Drosophila melanogaster: one gene and its partners. The protein of the gene in region 3 interacts with the protein of the main gene of each other region in a biochemical or structural test. Each region holds a gene or a part of one and is shown on either strand. Other genes may lie near its edges. The genes, in order: Orc3, Orc2, Cdc6 and Orc5.

What was found.
Region 1: the proteins of Cdc6 (region 3) and Orc3 form a complex in vitro, tested with the Drosophila melanogaster proteins (one study listed by BioGRID).
Region 2: the proteins of Cdc6 (region 3) and Orc2 form a complex in vitro, tested with the Drosophila melanogaster proteins (one study listed by BioGRID).
Region 4: the proteins of Cdc6 (region 3) and Orc5 form a complex in vitro, tested with the Drosophila melanogaster proteins (one study listed by BioGRID).

What each region holds. Positions count from the first base shown.
Region 1 is NT_033778.4:13,202,199-13,208,138, reverse strand, and holds Orc3 (origin recognition complex subunit 3), read left to right. Parts: upstream 1-1,591; 5' UTR 1,592-1,630; coding exon of another isoform or gene 1,631-1,758; intron 1,759-1,814; coding exon of another isoform or gene 1,815-1,959; intron 1,960-2,015; coding exon of another isoform or gene 2,016-2,141; intron 2,142-2,213; coding exon of another isoform or gene 2,214-2,363; intron 2,364-2,422; coding exon of another isoform or gene 2,423-2,663; intron 2,664-2,738; coding exon of another isoform or gene 2,739-2,749; 5' UTR 2,750-2,930; coding exon 2,931-2,957; intron 2,958-3,020; coding exon 3,021-3,824; intron 3,825-3,883; coding exon 3,884-5,121; intron 5,122-5,186; coding exon 5,187-5,283; 3' UTR 5,284-5,411; downstream 5,412-5,940. Other genes in the region: FLASH (FLICE-associated huge protein), read right to left, coding at 1-488, 543-733, 790-1,047; CG34315 (uncharacterized protein), read left to right, coding at 1,631-1,758, 1,815-1,959, 2,016-2,141, 2,214-2,363, 2,423-2,663, 2,739-2,749; ValRS (Valyl-tRNA synthetase), read right to left, coding at 5,545-5,940.
Region 2 is NT_033777.3:13,963,064-13,967,584, reverse strand, and holds Orc2 (origin recognition complex subunit 2), read right to left. Parts: upstream 2,701-4,521; 5' UTR 2,652-2,700; intron 2,594-2,651; 5' UTR 2,578-2,593; coding exon 2,004-2,577; intron 1,936-2,003; coding exon 1,090-1,935; intron 1,020-1,089; coding exon 583-1,019; 3' UTR 510-582; downstream 1-509. Other genes in the region: Kots (kotsubu), read left to right, coding at 3,711-3,853, 3,938-4,521. UniProt on the Drosophila melanogaster protein: Component of the origin recognition complex (ORC) that binds origins of replication. DNA-binding is ATP-dependent, however specific DNA sequences that define origins of replication have not been identified so far.
Region 3 is NT_037436.4:8,631,003-8,635,961, forward strand, and holds Cdc6 (cell division cycle 6), read right to left. Parts: upstream 3,068-4,959; 5' UTR 2,948-3,067; coding exon 1,378-2,947; intron 1,300-1,377; coding exon 881-1,299; 3' UTR 507-880; downstream 1-506. Other genes in the region: Zasp66 (Z band alternatively spliced PDZ-motif protein 66), read left to right, coding at 3,581-3,781, 4,000-4,079, 4,679-4,750.
Region 4 is NT_033779.5:13,827,978-13,832,107, forward strand, and holds Orc5 (origin recognition complex subunit 5), read left to right. Parts: upstream 1-1,859; 5' UTR 1,860-2,059; coding exon 2,060-3,157; intron 3,158-3,210; coding exon 3,211-3,495; 3' UTR 3,496-3,511; downstream 3,512-4,130. Other genes in the region: Arpc1 (Actin-related protein 2/3 complex, subunit 1), read right to left, coding at 239-1,299, 1,369-1,441; PolG2 (DNA polymerase gamma subunit 2), read right to left, coding at 3,512-3,906, 3,961-4,130. UniProt on the Drosophila melanogaster protein: Component of the origin recognition complex (ORC) that binds origins of replication. DNA-binding is ATP-dependent, however specific DNA sequences that define origins of replication have not been identified so far.

The DNA of each region.
Region 1 (5,940 bases), on a different chromosome or scaffold from region 3:
TCCTGTGATGATCTCGCCGGGAATTATGTTTTGGACTCCGGCTGCGATGTGGATCTGGACGACGAGCCTGTGCAGTAGATTTCCGATCGGTGGTCTTTGAGTGTTCCGGCCTGGGAGACTTGCTTCTTTGGACCGATTTCTTGGCGTCTTCTCTTGTCCTAGATTTCCAAGCATCATCCTTTGAGGATGACTTCTTGTCATCATCTTTATTGGTCGCCATCTTATTATCCTCCTTGGATTTTACGCCTCTTTCAACATCTTTTGATACGACTTTCGTTGTGTCATCTTTTTTGGTCATCATCTTCCTAGCATCATCCTTAGCGGCGTCCTTTGCAGCCGTTTTGAACGGATTTCTATTCGTTTCCGGATATTTCCTGACATCGATTGGTGTAGATTGAAATTCTTTCGGACGCTTACTTTCGGGTTCCCTTGCACCTGGTACGTCAAACGCCCGTGCTCGTTTTCGTCGGAAGCATACATCGTCCTTTCTGTTGAACAATGTGTTGTTTGTTAAGAAGCAGGGAGTCAATATGCTAACTTACTCGTTTCGCAGCTCGGCAATCAGTGTCTCTTTTCTCTTTACCTCCGCCTTAGCTGTGTCCAGTAGATTCTGTAGATTAACCTCCATGGTTTTTATCTTCTTGCCAAGTGCCTTATTCTCAACCTTTAGCGCTTCAATTTCGGCCAGTGCCTTTTCGTATTTGGCTTCCCATGCCTGTAGCTCCTTGGTATTCTGTGAGATGGTAAATGGGTAACTCTGCTGAAAGGACGTATTCCTGCACAACTTACACGATCTTCGGCCTTCTGAAAGTCGTCCAAATCATCGTAGATGTCCAGTTCAAGGGATCTGTCCATTTGGTCAGGCTTCTTTGAACCTGCAGGCTCTATATCGTACAAATCGTGATAGATATCCAAATCCATGGATTTATCCTTAACGTTGGACTTCATCCCGCCCGCGTCCTGGTCTTCCAAATCCATCAAGTCCTCCAGAGCTTCGGGCAGCACCAGTTCTCCGCCAGATTTCGTGGCATATGCAGGCGTTTCCATACCAATCGCTTACGTTTCTTCTTGGCTGCCCTTTAAACAAGGATACATAAAATGAATTGTTAGAGTTACTGTTTTTTAATGGAGCTACTTTATTGATTACCTGTTCAGTCATAAATTGATCAAAATTCGAAACACAAAAGAATTTCAATGTTCTTGATTTTTGTTTCAGGGAATAAAAGTTCCACTAAAGCTCAATGGTCACTGTCCTGAGCATTTCCTCCAAACTGGCGTGCAATTTGTTTCCCTGCCGTGTATTTGTATAAATGTAATTATTATTATTATTCTATTTAATATTGTTAGAAAATCCCGTGTTGCCGCCAATCGATAACAGAAGATGCAGTTGATTATCGGAAGCAACAGCTGACCGGCTGAAAATGTGGCAACCCTGATAGTGGATATCGATATCCAGCAGCAACATTTGGCGCCAAAACGAATATTTTAAAAATTTTATTATGCACTTACGTGTTTTCCCAAGAATATAATTTTAAAATCAATCTAGTTCCCATTTCGTATTACTGTACACTTAAATTCGTTAAAAAAAAACATCACAATACAAACAATAATACTCGAGAAACACTACACAATGGCAGACATTCCGGAAAAAAGTTCTTACTACAAGAAGGAAAGAAGAAAGTTCGCTCTGATCACTTACCTACTAACCGCGATATTCCTGATCCTTGCGCTGTTGCAATGGGCCACTTTCCGCTTTGTGTACGTATGTATTTTCACATTACTTCATCCTCACTGCACTTTTTCTTAATTTTCAGAAATTTTCTAAGGGAATTTTTTACTTCGTACCATTGGTTGAGCTGCCTTTTTTTTGGAATAGGCCTGATACTCCTCGTACTTTTCATATTTTTCGAGGTACTGCGCTTTAATAAAATGGTAAACTGGTTGTTTGCCTTTCTAATTGTAAGTCTACAATGTGAAACATAACCTGGGTGGCAGTATGAACTTATTCTTTCCAGTTTGAATGCATTGTACTGGGGATTGCACCGCTGGTTGCCCGCCACTACAAGTATCAGTTTCTCTTCAGCTTCCTTATATGGACCGTAGCATTGGCGCTTTTTATTGTCTGTGGTTCCTTTCTTCCGGTAAGAAGAGTCCACATGAAAGCCATTTGATTCAAATCTGAAGCTTCACATTTTTATTGTTATCCCCTTAAGCTGGATCTTACTTTGGATGTTGTGGTGCTATTTGTGCTTGCAGTGGTTTCCATTATCGGCGCCATATACTTCGTGATGCTCTACATCGTGGCTAATGTCGCATACTCGTTTATAATCGCCCGTTGCTTTATAGTGATCAGCATCTTGATGGTTAGTACTGAGTCATACATTTTTGAATTAGTTTCTGTCATTTAGTTTCCTCCTTACAGTTTGTCATGTATCACGCGCAGATTATAAACGGTGGAAGGTTCGCCGAGATGCGCACGAAGGACTACTTCCTGGCAGCCATCATACTGTTCCTCGATTTCCTGCTCCTCTATCTTTTCTCATTCCAAGTGGCCCCAAAATGGTCGGATCGTTGCGATGGCGAACGTTCAAAAAACTTGGTGCTGTTCACAGAAACTACGACGAATTCGTATCCACCAAAATGGTGGCGTACGAGCACGAAGGGTATGATTTCTTATTATTAGTTCATGTTAGATGAAATATTCAATTAATTTATACTTTTCACACTTGTTTTCAAAGATACCCCCTAAAGTCGTTAGCCAACACTGCCGCCCGTTTGGCGCCAAACACAACAGCCAGCTGATTTCATTTCGCGTTCCTACCGGTGAAGAAACTTTAATTGGCACAGAGCTGACCTAAACAAATAAATAAATAAACGCAACCCGGCGACTTAAAGACTCCACGACATCGGGCCGCAGTGCAAAGCCAGCGATGGATCCCACCATTTCAGTGTCCAAGGTGAGTGGCTTCGGCTTCCAAACTGGACATAGATGTTTAACTACTTATTTTTGTTGTCTGCAGGGCTGTTTTGTCTACAAAAATGGCGCTACGAGAGCAGGGAAAAAGGCGGCCAGCAAACGGAAGCGTCCTGCCGCAGAATCCAGTAGTCTTCTTGGCAAAGAGGTAGTGCAGCAGCCCTTCTATGAGGAATATCGCAAGGCCTGGAATCAGATAAACGATCACATTGCCGACCTGCAGCACCGCAGCTATGCCCGCACTCTGGAGCAACTGGTGGACTTTGTGGTGGGGCAGGCAGAGCGCGACACCCCGGACGAGGTGCTGCCCACCGCCGCCTTGCTAACGGGCATTAATCAGCCGGATCATCTCAGCCAGTTCACGGCACTTACCCAGCGACTCCATGCCCAACGTGCTGCAATGGTATGTGTGCTGCAGTCCAGGGATTGCGCCACTCTCAAGGCGGCCGTTGAGACATTGGTTTTCGGGCTCGTAGAAGATAATGCAGAAGTGGAGCAAATGGAAGACGAGGACGAGGACGAGGATGGTGCCGAACGGGATCGCAAGCGGCTACGTCGCTCGCAGTGCACCATGAAGCAGTTGAAGTCTTGGTACACGAACAATTTTGACTCGGAACAGAAGCGCCGCCAGCTGGTCGTCATCCTTCCCGACTTTGAGTGCTTTAACGCAAGCGTGCTGCAGGATCTTATTCTAATTTTGAGCGCTCACTGCGGCTCGCTTCCATTCGTCCTGGTCCTGGGAGTGGCCACGGCCATGACAGCTGTCCATGGGACACTACCATACCACGTCAGCAGCAAGATTCGTCTAAGGGTGTTCCAGACTCAAGCTGCTCCCACGGGCCTTAATGAGGTAATATTCCTTAACTCTGTGCTAGTTTATGTACTAATCGGTTTTCTAACAACCTTTAGGTGCTGGATAAAGTTCTGCTGTCGCCCAAGTACGCTTTCCACCTGTCGGGAAAGACATTCAAGTTCCTGACGCACATCTTCCTATACTACGACTTCTCCATCCACGGCTTTATTCAGGGCTTCAAGTACTGCCTGATGGAACACTTCTTTGGTGGGAATGCCTTTGCTCTTTGCACAGACTACAGCAAAGCATTGGGACGCATAAAGCAGCTGACCCACGAGGATATGGAAACCATCAGAAGGCTCCCATCGTTTCGTCCGTACGTCGAGCAGATCAATGATTGCAAACGCATCATAGCCGTGCTCACGGACGATGACTACCTAAAGAAGAAACTGCCGCAGTTGCTGCGCGACTGCCTGCTCCACTTCCTGCTTTTCCGCTGCTCTCTGGAGTTCCTTACAGAGCTGGTTGGTGATTTGCCGCGCTGTCCGCTGGGAAAGCTACGCCGGGAACTGTACGTCAACTGTCTTAATCGTGCGATCATTTCGACGCCGGAGTACAAGGAGTGCCTGCAGATGCTAAGCTTTCTGTCCAAGGACGAATTTGTTGCTAAAGTGAATCGAGCCCTGGAAAGAACCGAACAGTTCCTGGTTGAAGAAATTGCTCCGCTGGAATTGGGCGAGGCCTGCACTGCTGTGCTGAGACCTAAGTTAGAAGCTATACGCCTTGCAGTGGACGAAGTGGTCAAGGCCACCATGGCGACAATTACAACGACATCGCCCAATGAAACCCGCCAGGCGACTGACCATTTGACTCCGGTGGCCTCGCGTCAAGAATTGAAAGATCAGCTCCTACAGCGTAGCAAGGAGGACAAGATGCGGCATCAGCTGAACACGCCCACCACCCAATTCGGACGAGCTCTACAAAAGACTCTGCAGCTTATCGAAACGCAGATTGTACAGGATCATCTCCGTGCGCTGCAGGATGCACCACCTATTCACGAACTTTTTGTGTTCAGCGACATTGCTACCGTGCGGCGAAACATAATTGGTGCTCCGCGGGCTGCACTGCACACTGCCCTGAATAATCCACATTTTTACATGCAGTGCAAGTGCTGCGAGCTACAAGATCAATCACTGCTGGTTGGCACACTGCCCGATCTCTCCGTGGTTTACAAGCTGCACCTGGAGTGCGGTCGCATGATCAACCTTTTCGACTGGCTGCAGGCCTTTCGATCTGTTGTGAGCGACAGCGACCACGAGGAAGTGGCCCAGGAACAAATCGATCCCCAGATCCAGTGAGTAAAAAAATGGATTTCTCTCTGTAATATCATCAATTTCATTTGGTTTTCCTTTCAACCAGGGCCCGATTCACGCGTGCCGTAGCCGAGTTGCAGTTTCTGGGGTACATTAAGATGTCGAAGCGCAAGACGGATCATGCCACTCGATTAACCTGGTAGCTCGCTCGGGCTATGAATAACCAAAATCCCTTAGGTATTTTTATCTTTTCTATTTATTTATATTGGGGCAAATTTCATGTGTGGGACGTTATGAATAAATAAAACATCAATCGATTTGTCTACTCTGTACGAAATGCATTAACTTTGTTTGCGAGTGAAGCGCGTTCTTGTATTTTTTAAGTAAAGCCCAGCAGCTGGCAAGGCAAGCGTACTAAATATCAATTACCAGTCTTCCCGACTAGCGGTTACCACGTTCCCTGTTCACATTAGTTTCAGAGTCTCGATGGCGGCAGCGATGCGTTCGATCTCTGCCCGCGACTCGCAGAGTTTTGTCTCGTTGGCCTCCTGCACCTCGGCGGGAACCTTAGTTGCGTAGTCGGCGGCCTGGATGGCCTGAGTTAGCTTGCCCACCGTCTGCACCAGCTGGTCGCTCTTCTTCTGCAGCTTGGCTATCTCCTTGTCCGCCTCCACGAGTCCCTTGAGCAGCAGGTGCACCTCGCACTGGCCCGTCACGGTGAGGATCGCACAGCCCTGCGGTGCGGGACTGTCAAAGACCACATTGGAGCAGTAGGAGATTGTGGCCAGATCGCTGGCGTAGCGTTTGAGTATTTCACTGGGCACCGAATCCGTGCATACTATATACACCTCGGTTTTAAC
Region 2 (4,521 bases), on a different chromosome or scaffold from region 3:
GCATGTGATTTGCTATCAAGAAAGTGTAAATAAACTAGCCTTAGTCGCAGCAATTACATTTCGTTTCGAGTGCACAATTAACTAGTTACAAGTCCAACGCTTTAATCTGTGTATGTGCGTGTCTGTATAGTGAATAGGTAACCGATATTAGCCTTTGGAATGGATGAGGAGCACGGAATGGTCAGGCGGTAGTGAGTCTTATCATTTTTGGCATGCTTAGCTATGTTTAGTTCGCCTCTTCTGATCCTTAAAATCGTATCCAAATGCGCTCTCATCCCCGCAGTCGTCGAGCACTTGCAGTGCTTTGTGAAGTTTTGTGTTGCTATATGCTCGCAACTGGAGCTGAGGAAAAAAACTAGCCATCCTAGAATGTGTATCTTCGAGCAAAGCGACAAATTTTATGCATGCCAATCTTAATGTGTAGAAATTGACAAAAAAATAAAAAAGAGCGAAAACAAACACTGCGCACTCATCATGGGCAATACAAGTGACAGCAACACAACATTTTTAAAAAGCGAAATTGTAATTGTATTTAACAATATTAGATAATAAATTAATATGTTCTAAAATTACGCCGATGGCCTATTTCTTCTCCTGCTCCTCGAGAAACTGCTGCAGCAGTGCGCCATCAATGGGAATGGTTAGCTGTTCGGAGCCATCAACGCTCCGTTTCGATTTGACCAGCTTGTGGTCGAGGAACTCGGTGAGCTGGGCACGCAGTGCCAGATCTGAGCTGACCAAAAATGCTTCGCGACAACTCGAATAGAGATCCCTGAACGGCATGCCCTGGTATGTGGCATTGCCCTTGTTCTTCAATTGATACTTAACAATCAGCATGTAAATGCCACGCGAATTGGTCGTTAGCGATGAGAAGACACTGCGCATCGAGGAGAGGGCCAATTCGCCGGAATTCTGCACCAGCAGCGAGTTCTCGAACGCAGTTTCGTTCGTATATGGCAGCATTGTTGTGCAGTCCCACCACGAGAAGTTGAAGCTGCACAGCTTTCCCTGGTCCCACACTGCAAATTCGTAAACAATAATTAGTTTTGCTGTCGCACTATAAAGATCTCAAAGCATCGGTGCACTCACACAGTGGGGTATTTATGTGATCAATGGAGGCCAGTAGATGAATGTTCGGTATGCGCGCCAGGCGCGAAAGAATCGCCTGTGCCTTCACATTGCGAAGCATGGCTCCATCCAGATTATGGACGATTAAGAACAAATGTGTTTCCGGTATCAGTGCGAACTCCTCCTCGATCATATCCACTGCTTCATGTGGATTAGCCGGACTAATGCCCGCATCTAATATGTCGCTTGTGATGCTATCCAGCATATCCTTGATGGTCAGACTGGGAAAGAAGCCATTCACCACCAATACCGTTTGCTTATGCAAAACTTCCCGATGGAATGACTGCAGCAGCTGGTGCTTGGAGCCCAATCCATATAGAAGTATATTGAAGCCTTCGTTCAGAATACACATCCACTTGGGAAAGTACGATCGATACTCCTCCATAATGGCATTAATAGAACCCTCATGCTCCGCCGATGTCTTGATTTCCGACAGCAAACTGAAAACACGATCGGCGGCCAGGCGAGGATTCTTTAGGCGATCCAAGGTGTGATCCGAAGTGAGGATCTTGCTGCTGGCATGCGAGTGAAAGTAACCATCGCTCTCGGGCACAAACTCATTCGATTTTTTCGCCCTCGCCGATTGTCGCAGGCGGGCTGCCGATGGAGTTTTCGGCAGAACGGGGACTACAATGGCACGGCGGGCTCTACTGGGCGTTTTGGGCTCATCATCGGCGGCGTCGTTGTCAGAGGAGTTGCCAGCATCGCTGCTACTGCTGCTGGAGGAGGATTCCTCGTCACTGGGCCGGAAATCGCTTTCATCTCCAGAAAAATCCTCATCTGAGTCGGCCACTATTTTGGCAATCTCTGAAAGTGATAATGAATTTATAAATAATGGAAAAAATGGTAAAAGGACGCAGAAAAAGGCTACCCACGCTTCTTGACGCGGGTGCGCACATGGGCGGGAGTCTTTGGCTGATCCATGGACTTCTTGCGCTTCGTATCCGGCGTCTTGACACCCAAACGCGGCGTTTTTGGGGTCTTGGGCGTGCAGGGCGTGGCATTTAGGGCGGCCAGTGCCATGGCATCGCGTTTCTTGGGCGTATTGAAGCCAAACATGCTGGTGCCGGCCACATTGTACTCGGATTGGATGAGATGCAGATCCTTGGCAGCGGGACGGGCAGCATTTTCCGACTCCTCGATGCTTTCTTCTTCTTCCTGATCCTCCGCATCGCTGCTCCGTTCATCGGACATTTCCACATAGTTCACAACAATTCGCTCTTCCTGGCCTTTTCCATTGCTTTCCTTCTGGTACGCCTGGTATTTCTTGGTGGGACTTGGACGTCGGGTGGAACGCCGACTGGTGACCTTGGGCTGAGATTCCACTGCATTCCCAACCATTGCCGTGTTCAAGTCCTCGGATTCCTCCTCCGAATTGGTGAGGTTCTCAATGGACATGAGGTTCTCCTTCCGCGGCGTCTTGTAACCGCCTTTGTTGCTGGCACTCATGACGCTTGCCACTTCACTGGGGGCCCTGATTATCAAAATATTCAATTGGTAAACAAATAGTTCGCAAAATATACTCAATGCTCAGAAGTGGCGGGAATTATCGATAACTAAGACATGCCAAGAGTGTGGCCAGCTCTCGACCTAGGAAGTAGCTAAGTTTCTAGCGTAAAAAAAACTAAAGGGGCATGACAATTAAAACACAAATGTTATAAATATTTGTATAAATATATATTTATATAGGTAATAATTACAAAAAGAAATTCCGTGACACAGTTTTTAGAAATAACTATATTGTTCGAATAAGAATTGCATACGTTATCGATAAATTTAAATTAGAATCCAGTCACTGACAAAAGCTGAAGTGTTTGTTGGCAACACGTGCGCGTACAAAGCGGTTATTTTTTCACTGTCACAAATTCCTTGCGGATTAACCACAAACGTTTTTAAAACTAAAAAGTGTTAAAATCGGTAAGTTTAGGAAAAACAATATTTGAAGATGGGAAAATTACGCTACGTTCTTATTCTGAATTGCGGTCGTCAATGGACTTGCGGTTAATTTTCAAATAATATTGCCTATATTGGCAAAATAATAACACAAAGTAGATTTGCGTTTTCAGATATATTCAAACAGGTTCAAAGAGTATTCAACTTCCATGAAAATGGCTTGGCGAAATTGATTGTAACTGGAATATGTAGAATATTTAGCATATGTTGTGTCGTTTTAATTAAAGTTTAAAAACTTCGTAAGCCTTATTTTTCCTTTTTTAATTAACGATCAAGTTTACTTCCATCAGTGCGCTGTAAATCGAAAACCAACCGATATCGATATCGTCCTGTTCTCTTTCTTCCCACGTTCGTTCAATGCACTGAAGCGCGTGCCCAGCGAGCTTCGAATTTAAACGCGTTTAGTGAACGTATCGCATGTTTGTGAGTTGTGAATCGCGCACTTAAATTCTAAAGGATTCCACCTTTTTCAAAACGAAAACATAGAAAGTTCTCGTCCAGCGTAAATAGATTTTCACTTTGTATTTCATCGCGTGCTAAAAGTTCTGTTAGCGCCATTTTGCTGCGTTTCCTTTAACGCGCCGTTCTTTCATTCACACGTTCTTGCGTTGTTACTTTGAATTGAAGAAATGGAAAAGTCGGAGGAAAAGACATGCGTCGTCTGTGGCACTCCGACCAGATTGATGTGCCAGCGGTGTGGAGAACCGTACTGCAATGAAAAGTGCCAGAAATTGGATTGGCAGAGGCACAGGCAGGTGTGCATCATTATGCCGTGAGTTAAATTAGTAAATCCGTTGCGCAGCAGTGCATTAAGTTAGGGGTTTTTAATTCTTATACAATACAAATGCGTTTCCAGACCCTTGGTGGAGTGCCGGCCTCTTCAACCGGCGTTGAATCCAATCCAGAGCGTAGAGAACCAAGTTGCTCTGGCTAAAACTCGCACTAAATCGCCAATCCCATGTGTGGAGCCCACAGTTGCTGTGCCGAACAAGCCGGATCTATCGGAAAACTGGCGCAAACATTTGCTGCCGTCGGGCATGGAGTTTTTCAAGTGCCGCGTGACTTTCATGGAGAACGATGGACCCATTTGGGTGGTGCACGTGGCGAATGTGGAGGCCATTGAGCGAATGACGGTCAACATGCAGCGCTGCATGCAGAATAAGAAGATGATTCGTATGGAAGGAGTGCGGGAGGACACCCTCGTGGCCATCAGTGTGGGCGACAAGGTCCATCGCGGTCATGTTTTGACGGTTTGCCAAAAGAAGCAAGAAGCCAATGTCCGTATGATTGACCACGGTCAGATAGTAGCTACACCGTTTCGGGATATCTACACCATTGTGCCCAAGATGGCCGAAAGCAAGGCGTTCGCTTTCCGTGTTCAATTGCCCACGAACACTGGAGTTCAGGACATTAAGAACTTGACGCTCCGTATGTTGGGAA
Region 3 (4,959 bases):
TCAGAAATATATGTATTTTTGAGGAATAGGAATATAGAACGCCATATACCTATAGATACATTCATGCATATATCTAGCTGGCCTCTCTGCATATAGCTTATTATTCAAACATTTGTTCGCCTTTCGTCAATACGCGTCGAAAGGCAACCAGAGTTTTTGAAACATATTTTTCATTGCGCTCTGGTTGTGTCGGTGGTGCTCAATGTAATTCATACCACTCAAATGGGGATATTTTTAGAGCAGAGAGCGCAGGAAGAACAACAATAAGCCAGCAAATAAATAAACAAAATGATTATAGAACAAATTAATTTCATGTCGAGATGGCCAACAAAAGCCCACACAAATTCAGAAGCACTGGTGTTAATTTGACTGGTATGTTCTGAAAACGCCTCAGAAAACAATGGCAACAGACTTTCCCTAAGATTTTCACAACTTTTGGCACGACCCAAGATTCAAACTTGCGGCGCAGCGAAAGTGGAAAACGTTTTCACTTTTGCGTTTTATGTATTGCGGAACTATCTAGTTTATTCTTATTTGCTTAGGGCTAACAGGAAGGGGATTCTCTATAACTTATTGGTCAACGGATCGGATTAGAAATAGATTATGGGCGCAACATTTACTTAGATTTATGACACACACAAAGTCTAAAAGAATCGATTCAATTAATAGTCAGAAAATAGCAGAAAATGTCGAAAGTGACCGTCAAATGATATTTCAAAATATTTCAGTGCTTGCGCCAGCCACGAATTTTAAAATTAGCGTCAAAAAGTATTCCTATACATATACGTTCGTCCCCAAGGTGAATGAAAATGAGAAAAATGCGCAATTAACCAGCGGTTTGTCGGGCACACTCATTTCCTAGAGGTAATCGTCCAGATCGTCACTTGCTCAGGCAGGCGGTATCGCTGAGGATCGAGGCGATCAGCTGCTTGTCGCTCAGTGCCGCATGCACCTCCTCCTCGTCCCACTGCAGCAGAACCTTGTGCAGGCGCGGCTCCTTTTTGCGCATGATTCGCAGAATGCCTCGGGTCTCGACCAGATCCACAGTCCCAGTGAACTCCGCTTGGTCCAGGGCCAGGATGTTGCGTTTGGCGCACACTCTCCTGTAGACCTCGTGCAGGCGACCCATACTGATGTCTTTGTTGCGCTCGTTGCGCAGCATCAGCACCAGGGTGCACAGCATTAGCTTTTGCTGCAGCGGAAATGATGCCTCGATGTCCTCCTCCAGATTCTGTGAGGCACCGTAGACCTTGTTCAGCACTGCAGCCACTTGGGTGACCTGAACAGGCTTTAGAGTGTCTGAAATAGTCAAGATAGGATTTCTTTTTAACACATTCTATAAATTTATCTTTATATACTAAAGAAACGAAGGTTTACCTTGCTTTTCCTTGGCCTCCACCGCATCCTTGCCCTCCAGCTGCAGGGCCTTCATATTGAACTCCTTTTCGCCATCGCGCTTCTGCTGCTCTGCTATCTCGACCACTCGTCGTCCAATGTCCAGGGCCCTTCGCACATCTCCACTGATCGCACTCACCTTGGCGGCCAGCAGCTGCAGGGTCACGGGTGGAAAGACGTCCAGCACTTCCGCCTCAGCCAGACGCGACTTGAATATCTCCACGATCTGCTGCTTGGAGTAGGGCGGGAAGTGCATCAGTCTGGGCTTCAGCTCGCACCTTGCATTCAGTCGCATCAGCGCACGATCTGTGAGATCCAAACTATTGGCAATGCCCACGAGCAGTATCCTGGAGCCGGGAAGAGCTGGCCACTCGAAGATCGTGTACAACACCTCCTGCCTGCTGGTGCAGAGCTGATCAATCTCGTCCAGCACCAGCAGAAGCATTCGCTTTGCTGTCTTTAGGTGACGCTGAATGGCCTCCAAGTGATCTCTCTCTGTGCGACCGCTGACTTTGAGCTGCAGTTCGGTGCATAGTTTCTTGTAAACTGCTCCTACACTTGCTATGCTGGTGCAGTTAATGTACACACGTTGCAGACGCTTGGAGAAGTCGGGATCTCTCAGCAGTAGCGATAGGCAGGCGGTCTTGCCTGTTCCTGGCTGACCGGAGACATAGAGGCTGCCGGAAGTCTGGCTTTCCAGGTGATTGCTGAAGAATTCACGTAGCTCTTGGAGCTGGGACTCACGTCCTGGCAAGTTTTGTGTCTCGGCGCTGTTGAGCACTCGTCTGGCGTTTTGGTATTTGTTGCGTGAGGGAGATGGCAGGTTATTCTGTTGGGTTTCCTCATTGGTTTGGATATTGCTTTTTTCTTTAGTTTGGTTTTTATTCGGCTGCTTTGTTGGAGGTTTCTCCTGCTGCTTTTGCGCTAATGGATCCTCCTGCTGTTTTGGCCGAGGCTTTGCCTCGTCCTTGGCTTGATGTTTCGGCTGCTGCTCAGCCGTTTCAGTCTTGTGTGTGGTCGCCTCCACCTCTTCCTCCTGGCGCTCGTCGATGCTGAGTCTGTCCAGCAGCCGCGAAGGACTGATCAGGTGCTGTGGCAGTGGCTGCAACTTCCTCTGCTTCGGCGGCGATCCATGAAGCGGGTCCACCTCCGAATCCTGTTCGCCCTCCAAGAATCTAGCGGTGGCCTCACGGTTTTCCTCCTCACGTTTGGCCCGTGAACTGCCAGCTGATTGGACTGTTTTCTTTGTGCTGCGTGGCGTCTTTGGCAGCTCCGATTGAGCCACCTGCACTTGCGATGTCCTGCGCCTGGAGATCTTGTCCATTTTGTTGAGCACGTTGCGGTTCTCGTTGTTCTCTGAAACGGGGCTGGTCAGGTCATAGATCGCCGTCACCACCTCCTCCTCCTCGTCGCTATCGGCAAGCACTTTTTTCGGCTGCCTGCGTTTCCAAACTTCCGAGCGACGCGGCGTCTGCGTCGACGGCGGCAGCGGAGAGGCGGCGGTCGCTTTGCTGATGCTACTAAGGCGCGTGGAGCGGCGTACGGCAGCCATTCTTTAGCTTAGTTTATTGATCAGCAGTTAGTTACTATTAAATACGAGTTAAATAAGCCACAGCGTGCGTTACAATTTTCAGCTGGCAGTCACAGTTAAAAAAGCGCGCAAATTGAGTTTGCCATTCGCCACGAGCAACAGCTGATCAAGCCTGGTCTGGTCATCTGGCAGCTCTAGCCCAGAGCTGCCTATTGTCGATCGCCTATCGATTAGGCGCGCATAGTTACAACATTTCAAACAGCAGTCCGCCTATATTGAATTACTTACATACTCGCGTGTGGACGGCCTGGTAAAAATAAAATGGTCCGCGGCAGATAGAAAACACAAATCGCTGGACGTTGAACACGCTTACGTAAGCGCCTAAAAATATTTCCCCTGGCTATGGGATATTTTTAAAGTATATAAACGGGCGCACATAAAATGGAATTTAGATATAGCGAAAAAAATTATGCACACACACGCTCGAAGGAGAAATACGTAGCACAGTGGGCAAAGATCTGGTGATTTCTAGAAACTCTTTTAATCTCTGTCTGATTTATTTATATTATCATTTGCCGCAACGGCTGGTCGGCCAAATGTGTGCCCCATTTCGGCGTAAACAAAGTCGTTAATCTTCACCGATCCGCTTTCCAGCCCTACCGTACAACTCCGCTGGTCCTGCCCGGCGCCAAAGTGAAGAAGGATGCGCCCACGACAGAGTCCTACTTGAGGCACTACCCCAACCCGGCTGTGCGCGCCCACCCAGGACACGACTACCATGACAGTATCATGAAGCAGCGCGTGGCCGACACCATGCTGCACAAGGTGGTCGGTTCGGAAGCCGACACTGGCCGCGTAAGTACAGGGGACTTCTTAAAGTCACACCCACATAATGGAAAATTACAAAAACTAGAGTTTTCTACATTTAAAATTGATATTTTCAATGTTAACATTTCGAATTCGTGACCTGTAGTCTTTGTTCTAATCCTGTTACGAAATTGATTGTATTTAATTTAAGTGTAAGTTGTAATGGGTTTTACTTACATTTGTGTACATATATCCCCCGATTTTAGGTCTTCCACAAGCAATTCAACTCGCCCATTGGCCTGTACTCCAACAACAACATCGAGGACACCATCAGATCCACAGTTCCGTAAGTTGTCACCCAGAAATGTACCATCTGGAAACTCCTATGCTTAGCTCGATACAATGAAAAAAAAAAAACACTAATATATGAACTTTTGGAATTCGCTTGTCAAATTGAACTTATAAGCCTATGAATTACGCTACATATTCTTTGGATTTTGCAATTTACGAATAAACCTGCGTAGAGTTCTTCGAAATTTTTGATGCAGCTTTTCTTTTTGCCAGAGAGACAGAGAGAGCCACTCGAAATGCGCCAAGTAGCTTGAAAACTAATAAAACGAGTCACGAACACACGGTTACGAGTAGCCTAAGGTCCACATAACCCGAAAAATTGGTTCCTGGTTAAGCTGCGGCCATAATCCACTAACCCAAAAGCCACAAAATCAAAGTCGAAACGAAATTTACTAAACCGATGCACACACGAAATGAGAAACACACACAATTCGAACATACGATTGAACACGAAAACCAGTCCATAGATGTTGTACGTACTACTTACTACTGCCTACTGCCGGATCTCTGTTTTACATGCATTTATATACATTTACATATATAAATATACCACTCTCTATATATCCTATATATATTCTATGTATATTGTTGTAGCTTCGCCACAAGCGAAAGCAATCGCTTGAAGGACAGTCCTTTGCATCGTCCTTTGCCAACAAAACTTAACGGGTAAAAGTAAATTCATATCTTGAGCACAGCCTGATTTCGTTCTTTGATTGAATCCTTTCACTTTCACTTTCACTTTGATATGGAAAGCACAATGAGCAAGAACGTGGAATTGTACCTGAACTTGCCTTGAGACAAATTAAATTGAATATGAGGAATGTTTGCCAAGTTTCCCGTGTTTTCCCCTGCCTGTCTGTACAGACTAACCCTCG
Region 4 (4,130 bases), on a different chromosome or scaffold from region 3:
TAAAGGTGAAACACTTTAAAACACACACACACTTTCGGAACCATTATGGAAGTTGGTGGGGGGGGGGGGGGGGAAAGAACAATCTCTTCGGTTAATTTATGTAAAAAGGCTTTCGCACGGTACAGAACAATGGGAAAAGCGATTTTGGAAAACATTTTGGCAAATACTTCGCTCCTGGCCAGGCCAACACACTCGCTAACAGACAATAACACGTAACGCTGGTCCGTTCCGGGCCGCACTAGATCTGCAGGTTGCGCATGCCGCCATTGATGCCGCCCTGCTCCACATTCCAAATGACCAGCTGCCCGTCGACGCCCGAGGTGGACACCTTGGTGGCGCTCGCCTTGTCGCCGGCATACAGTCGCACGCTGGTGATGGCGTTCTGATGTATGGAATCGACCACCGTGTCCGTGTTCTCCGTGCGCATGTTGCGGTCCATCGACTGAAAGATTCTCATGGCGGTAATGCCGCTCGACTCCTTCTTCTGCGACTTATCGAGCTTGCCGCTCAGCACCAGCTTTCCATCGGCAGTCAGACTGTAGAGCAGTGGCACACAGCTATAGCCGGCCACCACGACGGACGTGGGCGAGACCCATTCGCATGACAGGAAGGGCAGATAGCCGGTGCGGCATCGAATGACCGTATTGCCATTGGTAGCGTCCGCGATGCTCACGCAGCTGTCGTGGCCCACCCAGCAGACCTTGTTACCGTCGCTGGAGAAGCTCACGCTGTTAATCCAGCCGCCACCCGAGGTCTGCGAGTTGCGGAACTCGGCCATTAGCTGGCCAAGGGGCTTGCGATTGCCCCACGGCGTCGGCGTCGGTGGCTCCTCGATGTCCTTGATGAAGGCCGAGAAAACGCGCACCTTGTAGTCCGTGGAGCCGGCCAGCAGCAGAACGTTGTTCGGATGCCAGTCCAGCGAAGTGACCGTAGAGCGGATCGGCTTCTTGATGTGCTTCGACACCCACCAGTCGTTCTCCGACTCGAAATAGCACACGGATATGAGTCGGGCGCCCGAACCCACAGCGAACTTGTTCTCCGCCGGCGACCACTTGACGCAGGTTGCCGCCCGATTGATGCGCAGCAGCACCAACGCCGGCTTCCACTTGCCATCGTCGCCCTGCGTCCACACATAGGCATTACGGTCGGCGGCACAGCTCACAATCCGATTGGTGTTCTTGGCCCAGTCGATGCCCATGACGCGCAGATCGTGCTGGTTGAGCACGTCCGCCAGCTTCCAGTCGCTGCCCTCCCGGCTGTATATGTGGATCTCATGGTTGTTGGGCGATAAGGCAATCTCTGCGAATTTTTGGGAGTGGGTGGTGGTGAGTCACACTGTGCCGGATGAGTAATTTGGGTCGCACTTACGGGTTCGATCCTTGTTCCATGCGTGGCAGGTGATGGAGGCCAGCGAGGTGCCAAAGGTGTATGTCTCGGCCATCGTGGGTGGCTAAATGCGCTCGGAATGTGCAGTGTTCGCTCGTCCAAATCCAACCACACGCGTAGTTTCTTCGGTTCGGTTCGCCGGATTTTCGGATTTTGGATATCGCTGTGTAGCAATTGGGCGTTGTTTCCGCTGGATTTTAGCTTCGCTCTCGTTTTAATCGCGGACTCTGGGCCGTCAACACGATTAAGCTGGCGTTGCTGGGATGGATTCTGGCTTTGCCTGGGCCGGAAGAGTAGAGCGTTGTGGAAAAAACTCTTTGGAAAAGTAATGCACAAAATTAATCACCCGAAATTAGAGCTGGAACAAAAATCGATGGCCCTCAATACTATCGTTATTTCGTTATATCGATATTTTTCGATTGTTTGAAAAATGCTAAGGTACCAGTGCTGTTACGCACGTTCGGTATATACCAGAGGGAATAATTTGGCGCCATTTCAATGGTCACACTAAACAGAAACCATTTCTTGTAAACAAATTTTTAATAACTGGCTGGCTCGTAATTTATTTTTGTTATTTTATAAACCGAGGAAGTATTTTCCCTTTTGAAAGCCCGTTTAAATAACACCACTTCGCCTGTGGGTAGCTGAGGAAACTTAAAAGCAGACGACAGCTATGGAAGCCATCTGCTCCTCCTTGGAGCCGCTGTTTCCCTGTCGGGAGGCGGCCATTGAAACGCTGGGCGAGCTGATAGGAGATTCGAGTGAGACATATCCCTCGGCAATTTACCTATTCGGACACAGTGGAACCGGCAAAACAGCTCTGACCAGAGCTTTCCTCAAAGAATGTGGAAAACGGCAAAATGTCCGCACAGCGCATTTAAATGCCATCGAATGCTACACCACCAAGATAATGCTGGAGATCCTGTTAGACTCGCTGGCACCCGATCAAGGTGATGCGCTGAAGGTCGACAACATGCTGGACTTTGTGGAGCAGCTGCGTCGGCAGGCCGCTACACGCGTGGAGGATCAGGGATTTCTCATAGCCGTGGATAACGCGGAAAGGCTGCGCGACATGGATGCCAATGTGTTGCCCGTTCTTCTCCGACTGCAGGAGCTGACCAACCTGAATCTGTGCGTTATTCTGCTCTCCCAGCTGCCCTTTGAGAAGTTCTACAACAAGACCGGACTTAGTGAAATCGTCTGCCTGCACTTGGCGCAGTACAACAAGGCGGAGACACAGCGCATCCTGGGATCTGACTTTCAGCAGGTGCGAAATCAACTGCTGGAACAGTTCGCCCAGGATAAGAAGCGTCTGGAGATTTGCCAGGAAGCCGTAACTGAAGACTTCTACAACAACTATCTGAATCTCTTTCTGAGCGTCTTTTACAAAGCCTGTCGCGATGTTCCAGAGCTCCAGCTGACCGCCAGGAAGTGTCTGTCCACATACTTGGAGCCTGTACTCGACGGCACTGTGGATGCCACGGACATCTCCCGGCTTTGGCGGCATATAGCTGGACCACTGCGTTCCGCCTTAACCCAGATTTATATGCGAATTGAAAAACCCGCGGAAGAAGTTGAAGATTTCACCGCCATAGAAGATCAGAGCGTTCGCAAGCTGGCGCAGTCGCTGGAGCTGCCCTACTATGCCAAATTTCTGTTGATCGCTGCCTTCTTAGCCAGCCACAATGCCGCCAAGCAGGACAAGCGATTGTTCGTCAAGCACCATGGAAAACAGCGAAAGCGGATGCAGACGGTCAACGCCAGAGCCAAGGTGGGTTATTCAATTTTTCGATGACTCCATTTGCTTATTTTAATACCTTTTAGACCACGGAGAAAATGTCCACCACTTTGGGACCCAAATCCTTTAGCATCGATCGTTTGCTGGCCATTTTCTACGCCATTCTAGAGGAGAAAGTCGGTCTGACCTGCAACCTTCTCTCCCAGATCTCAACTTTGGTGCACCTCAATCTACTAAGCTTCGTCTCCGGCGAACAAAACATAATGGAAGGTTCCGCTAGGCTGCAGTGCACCATTGGCTTGGAGTTTGTCCTGCAGATTGGCAAGGTGGTGGGCTTTAATGTCCGCCAATATCTCTGCGACTTTATGTAGCCCCTGGTTGTTTTTTTTAGTTTTTAAATATATTTAATAAATAGTCCGGTACATCGCTTATGTGTATGGTCTCCGCCAGCCTTGTGTCCCGGCTGCGCAACTGCATCAGTCCGTTTCTTAGCGTTTGCTCGTTTATAACAAGTGTATAAGGTATGCCGAGCATATCCGTTTCCAGCAAGTGCTCTGCTAAATGAGAAGCGTTCTTCGTCGTACGAATTCCATCCCCTTCAGAAAGTCTAAGACCGGCGTGGTTGAGAACATGTTTCAGATGCTGACAAAGATCAGACAAGTCAGCAGATAGCTCGGAATCACTTTCCACACAGGCAATTCCACATTGATATGGCGCCAGAACGCGGTGTAAGAGCAGGGATTGCGAGTCCCGGCCATGATCACAGCCATCCAGAAGCAGAGCTAAAGGATAATAATATAGAAAGATTTTCAAAGATAGTTATGATGACCACTTACCGCAGGTGGTAGTTTCCAGCTCTATCACAGACCTTATGACAGTCGGTTGCACAATTTCACCCGTTCGCGCATCGGGCAGCCGGAAGTCTTTGTCGTCCACTATTCTCACCAGGCTCAGTTGCTCCACGGTCACTTCTCCTGCATCACCGTAGCTCGTGCGGATATCGATG